Tribolium castaneum: one gene and its partner. The main gene of each other region encodes a partner of the protein of the gene in region 2 in a complex. Links are inferred from orthologs where the notes say so. Each region holds a gene or a part of one and is shown on either strand. Other genes may lie near its edges.

Region 1 (2,534 bases), on a different chromosome or scaffold from region 2:
TGTACAGTGTTGCGAGTCTGTGCCTCTGAAAATTTTATTCACACTAGAAAATCACTTGAAACATAGGGTAAGTACCTCGGATTAACTCTCTTGCCGCTAATTCGTCAAGAGATAGGGCAGAGTCTGGCACAGAATTTGCCTCCCCTGTCTCTTCTTTAACTTCAGGTTTGACGTGTTTTTCCCTCGCTTTTTTTATTTGGTCTATTAATTTGTTTGATGGGCCTTGGATTGGTATCACCAACGGCTCATTTGTCTCCTCAACGGCACTAAAATGAGGTTTTTGGCAAAAATAACATAACCTCAAAAACGAAACATACCCTTTTATTTTAATTGATTGACCCTCTAAACAGTCAATTAGCTGTATCTTATTTTCGGGTTTCGGAACACTTGACCTGATTTCGGTCTTTTTACTAATTTTGCTGAAACCGAACGATATTTTTTTATTTTCCATTTCACGATTATTTACGTTTTTGACAAGTGAGGTTATGGGACCACCAACCTGACAAAATAAAAATTTAAACTAAGTTTTATTTTGTGCTTTTATTATTAAAATTTGAATTACACTACTACATTTGGCCACATTGTACAATTGTGACCGGGATTTTGGGCTTATTGTTGGGCCCCGTGGGCACGTTTTCGATTTTCCGCATGACGAGAAGTCCGTCAATAACGCGTCCAAACACCACATGTTTGCCGTCCAGGAAATTACACTTTGCACAAGTTATGAAAAACTGGCAACCGTTGGTGTCTTTGCCGCTGTTTGCCATTGATAGAAGTCCAGGACCGTCATGTCTTAGGTTAAAATTTTCGTCGGGAAACGTTCCGCCCCCATATATACTCATAACGCCGGTCCCATCGCCCTAAAAATATTAATTAGTTGCGGAATCGCATCCCGTGATTTTTACATTGACGAAGTCGCCCCCTTGGATCATAAAGTCCTTGATAACTCGGTGGAAACTAGCCCCCTTGTAGCCCAACGGCACGCCGTCTTTGCGGAACTCGCCGGTGCAAAACTGGCGGAAATTATCGCTGGTTTTGGGGACCGCGTCTGCGAATAACTCGAAAATCATTCGGCCGATTTCCTGTAATCGAAAAATACAGTTTTCGGAAATTTTGGGTTATTGGTACCGTAGTTCCGACGGAAATGTCGAAAAACACGACCGGGTTCGCTGGGTGCTTCAACTGGGCTTGAATTTGGTCCCAATTCGGCATTTTTACGGTTTTTAGTTCCCTAACCTCGAATAATCAAAACAACATAACCTCAAACTTGCGACTAATGGGCGCCATATTTAAATTCAAAATCGTATGCTTTATAATAATTTTATTTTAAAAACTAGAATACAGTTTATTTCGGCGGGGACCTGGTAAAGTGCGGCCAGTTCTGTAGTTCGCGGTACAGCTTTAGGCCCGGACTTTCCGTCGCGCTGACTTGGCGGGCCCCAAACAGTTTGAAACTTTTGCCCAACTCTCCCAACTCAACCCCGCATTGGAGAAAATCTTTAGCGGCTTGTATCTGCTTTTTATTTGGAAGTTGAGCTGTAATAAAAGGCTCGTAAAGTACGAAAATAACACGAAAAACAACCTACTCGTGTAATTGCCGATGAAACCGAGCCCCAAAGACCGGGAGTTGTACCCACGTGTGTGCGCCCCCACTTTGTGCCAACCTGCGCCCTCGTAAATCTGGCCGTCACCACCCACTAAAAAACTAAACCATAATTAAAAAAAAAAAAACAAAAATCATCAAATTTACTTGTATCCAATATCGTGAAAATCTAGATTTTCCATGTGAAAATTCTGAATGTTTCGCAAAATCGCCGCACATTCTTCCTCAGTGCTGCAAGTGTTGGTCACCGTGTGGTGCACGACCACGTTTTCGACAGGGATTAGGGCGTAATCCACTTCCAAAGCAGTGCGAGCCCCCCATCTAGTGCGACTCACGATTTCGGGGCACACTGCCGGCAAGTTTGACTCTGGAAACACCTCATTTAGCAATGGATGGGGTTTGAGCGGTGGTTTTACCTGTTCGAGCCAGAATTTGGTGCAAAATTGAGAAAATAATCACGAACTTTCGTCCCATATTCAACTTTGCCTTGTATGCAAAATTAAAATTATTTATTTAATTAGCACGTCCTTTAATGGAACAACACGAGTAACCTTCGAGATGATAAACTTCTGCATTTATATACGGTGACCTGTGGGGTCTATGACTTTATCTTCTTGTTATGGTTTTTATCTCTGGGTTGTGGGGATTCCCGATCAGGGACTTCACCAACGGTGACTAAAGTTAAATAAAAACAAGAGCAACGAATTTAATTTTATTTTTGTGCTGGATTTTGCAGTCTTCTTAGACGTCCTTATCACTATCAGTTCTTATCATGTTTTATTAAATCATAACTTAACGTAATTTTCGTTACGCAGTTATCAAGTCACTTAGATACGGGGGGCAACTCAGTCAGTTAATTCGCAAGGTTTGTGCGGGAAAAAAATTTTGGTTTTTAAAATTTTGCAAAACTTGTTGAGAGGCGCTGCCCGTC
Region 2 (3,731 bases):
AAAAAAATCAGGGAGGGACAAATAAAAGACAAAAATTCCGGTGATAGAATTTTATTCGTAAAAAATTACTTTTCTAATCTTAGCTCATAAATTTGTATATAAGCCTCCGTCAGCGTAATCATCTGCGGCAAAATATCCGTCACATGCAAGTCCTGCATCTCGTACCACTTGCCCGTTGATTTTTGCAAAATATGAACCCTGTAAGTGCCTTTCCCCGGCTCTCCATCATGCACAATATTCGCCACTAGATCATAGACCGTATGTTTATGTTTGGCCTTAACTTCGGGCGTCAAAAACTCGCCAAAATCAACATTCCTAACCGGAAAATTCACAATGGTTGGATTCTTCTCCACGTAGAACGTGTTCTTCGTAAACCTCTTAATATACAAGATTAAATAAGGCGGCAAACGCGTAATCTCAAACTTCTTGAGGAAATTCTCCTTGTAAGTCTTGTACTCCTTCTCGGTCTGTCCGTTGAACTTGGTGAGGAGCTGGTACAAGTTCACCTGGGGGATGATATTCTCCCGGAACTCGTCGATGAAGAGAGGCGGTGGAGGCAAGTCGCAGGTGAGGTACAAGAAGGGTGACTCGGTGATGATCTCCTGGTACTCTGGAGTTGACAAAAGCATGCGTTTCTGTCTGTCGTCAAGCTCGGTCGGTGGTATTTTCCTGGTGTAAATTTTCATGTTTCCGAGGAATGACTGGTAAATGATGGAACTGTTTTTCTTTTTATTGCCGTTAAGTGCCCGATGAAGTGCGTTCAAAAACCACGAAAGGAAATCAATGGGGTCGCCTTGTGCCGTAATTTGGAAGCGCTTTTTGCTCCACAAAACCACAGCTTGGAGCATTTCGTGCGGCGAAACGTGGGCTTTGAAATTTCGGGGGTTCCATAATTTACGCATCAGTTCACCGTAACGTTGCACCAGGAGGTAAGAGGAGTCACCTGGGGGGCGTTTTATCTTGCTGTAGTTCTCCTCACGGAGGAAGTAATTACGTAAAGGGACAACACGTGAAAGGGCTTGTAAAACAACATTACAGTAATCGTTCGCTTTTATGTTGTTTAAACCGACGATTCCTGGCATGTAAAGTAGGCCATCAATTGCTCGGGACATTTTTGTGCTAACGTCCAATGTACTGATGTGTTGTTCGGTAAATGTGGGGTTGAGCAGGTATTTAATGTCGTCGAGGGACGAATCTGTGAGTAATTTAATTTTGTTAGAAAAAAATCGTTGGAGCTTGAAATTAAGTGGCAACACTGATTACTGAAACCGAATACTTCCCCGAACATTTCCTAGTATTTGCTTTTTTCAATTCAGAAATTGACAACACGATTATCGAAAATAGACAAAAAACACAAAAATTAACCGAAAAACCACCAAACGGATTCAATAATTACATAATGTTTGTCTTTTCCGAAGATCCCAACTTGTTATTTCAGGCAGAAATGCCAAACAAGCCGCAAAATTACCAAATCAGGCCACAAATTATCTCATTTTTCCTTTTTTTTTAAGCCATTATGCATGTTTTTGAGCTAAACAGGCATTTATTTTACAAAATTCGTGAATTATGACATTGTAAAAACGTATAAATCCTAATCTTTGTAAAAAGTCTCCCAATTGAAGACTTCGCGCGAATTTCAAATCACGCGCGCTCAAGTGTCATTTTCAAATCAGCCAATGAGGTGCCGTTGGCGTGACATCAGCGTTAGAGTGAAGCTTGTCTGCCGAAGTGCGCGTCCTTTTGCTTTTGCGTGTTGAAAAACCGGTGTTTTGTGCGTGTTAAGTGGCAAAAACGACTCAAATCGACTTTTTATCGGAAATGTGACGTGTGTAGACTATCAAAGTGTGTTAGCAGCAAGCTGGAAGCCGGTTTTGAAAAAATTCAGTTAGACGACGCTAAGGTTAGTCATTTTTGTATTTTTTCCACGATTACTCGGTTTAATTCGAGTTAGTTTCGGTTGAAAACGCATACAAAACGATATTCAATAAAATGCCAATCGGAAAAATGCGACAAAACGAAGATTTCACTTTATTTTTGAAGGGGGGCGTTACTGGCATTGCGCCCTCTCAAACATTCGCGTTATTGAAACGATTTAATCTAATTCGGTGTAAAACTTCAGCTCGAATCAAGTGAGTTGGGTAAAATTGTTGAAATTTGAAGAAAAATGTTGCCAACTTAATTTCAAAACTACAATTGAGAGTATTTATTACCTATTATTTCATAATTGTCGGGCAAGCAGTAAAACTTCAAGGTGTGCAAGTTGAGGAAAACGTGGTGGCCTTCGGCCACCGAATGCGTATAAGCATGTGTGTTTGTGCCTCTACCTTGGAAATATTTTCCGCAAACAAGACAGGCATAAACGTTGATGCGAGTCAACGACACTGAGCACAATTTTTCGAAATCAAAGTCGAGATATTGCCGGTTGATTGTGTCCAAATAGGGGCACAGTCGATGCGTTTGGGGCTTCCCACCTGGAATAGACAATAATAGAACAGGGCGCTTTAATCGATTGATTTTTGTACCTTTCCGGTCCGAATTGTCAGAAGGGGGCTCAATTTCGGCTAAAATTGAACGTTTCAGTTGCGTTTTCGAGGTTATGTGTACTTACGTTGTGAGGAGTTTGATTTGGCTTGGGGCTCCTCGAACTTGGGCTTTTTCATGGCAGGTTCATCGTCCGCTTCCATCGTATTCACGCTTTTTTAATTAATTTTTGATTAAATCACGCTAGGACTGTTTTTGTGTGGTGTTTGCAACTTTAAGGTTATATTTACTGTCAACGGTGTCAATAATAATGTCAATCTGGTTATGCAATAAAATTCGAAATTGTAAAAAAATAAGTACTTTATTCAATAAAATTACGCTTTGAGACTAACTTTCTCTTCTTCGGCGCCTCGTTCATCACAAACTTCGACTTCCCCTCTCAGTTTTTTCTGGATGTCTTCGAGGGTTTTTCCTTTCGTTTCAGGCACAAAGAAATAAATAAAAACTAGTCCAAGTAGCGAACAAATCCCGAAACCGTAAAACGAGACATGTAGTCCGTATTCTACTTTAGTTATTTGTAAGTACTTGGAGGCCACTGTGGCCATCACACTGAAGTAAACATCGGCCAAACAAAGCGCAAAAGCTTTCACATTTGTGGGAAACAACTCCCCTAACATACAAATCGGGATTGACTGCATCCCTAAACTGAAAATTATCACAAAAGCTAGAAGCCCCACAACGGCCACGATCGAAAATGAGCTCGTATCAATGTCCGTTTCGTTCAAAAGATAAAAATAGGTCCCTTCGACAAAAAGGGCTAACGCCGACCCCGCCATTGAGATGATCAACAGTGGTCTTCGACCGGCCTTATCCACAATACTCGAGGAGAACATTGTGAGGAGCAACTGGATGGAGTAGTAAATCATCACAGCGTAATGTGCGGAAATGTGGTCCCCAGCAGTTTGGAAAATCTCATGGGTGTAGAAGGCAATAGCCGTGGTCCCCGCCAATTGCTGGAAGCCCCGGAGCCCCCCGATGATGAAAACGGCCTTCCGGTTGCTCTTCACCCGGAACAAGTCGACGAATTTCCCATTGTGCGACTTTTCCTCAGCCTGGATTGCGTTCCGGATTCGGTTCAAATCCCCGGAGACATTTTCGCGTTTTTTGAGGCGTTCTAGTGATTTCCGGGCCTCGTCCGCCCTCCCACGCATTAACAAATAGTACGGACTTTCCGGCATCCACAAGAATGT

Evidence for each region. The genes of interacting proteins can lie anywhere in the genome.
Region 1: Usp39 (region 2) and peptidyl-prolyl cis-trans isomerase H share a complex: the UniProt entries of both Homo sapiens proteins name them as parts of the U4/U6-U5 tri-snRNP complex. The link is inferred for Tribolium castaneum from reciprocal best matches to the Homo sapiens genes USP39 and PPIH.

What each region holds. Positions count from the first base shown.
Region 1 is NC_087395.1:17,966,567-17,969,100, forward strand, and holds peptidyl-prolyl cis-trans isomerase H, read right to left. Parts: upstream 1,292-2,534; 5' UTR 1,213-1,291; coding exon 1,129-1,212; intron 1,083-1,128; coding exon 906-1,082; intron 861-905; coding exon 567-860; 3' UTR 522-566; downstream 1-521. Other genes in the region: G-patch domain and KOW motifs-containing protein, read right to left, coding at 1-25, 76-266, 318-451; peptidoglycan-recognition protein 2, read right to left, coding at 1,346-1,536, 1,587-1,705, 1,751-1,970, 2,020-2,077. UniProt on the Homo sapiens protein: PPIase that catalyzes the cis-trans isomerization of proline imidic peptide bonds in oligopeptides and may therefore assist protein folding. Participates in pre-mRNA splicing.
Region 2 is NC_087394.1:36,569,843-36,573,573, forward strand, and holds Usp39 (ubiquitin carboxyl-terminal hydrolase 39), read right to left. Parts: upstream 2,829-3,731; 5' UTR 2,685-2,828; coding exon 2,609-2,684; intron 2,562-2,608; coding exon 2,523-2,561; intron 2,472-2,522; coding exon 2,211-2,471; intron 1,901-2,210; exon of another isoform or gene 1,657-1,900; intron 1,196-1,656; coding exon 66-1,195; 3' UTR 36-65; downstream 1-35. Other genes in the region: facilitated trehalose transporter Tret1, read right to left, coding at 2,856-3,731.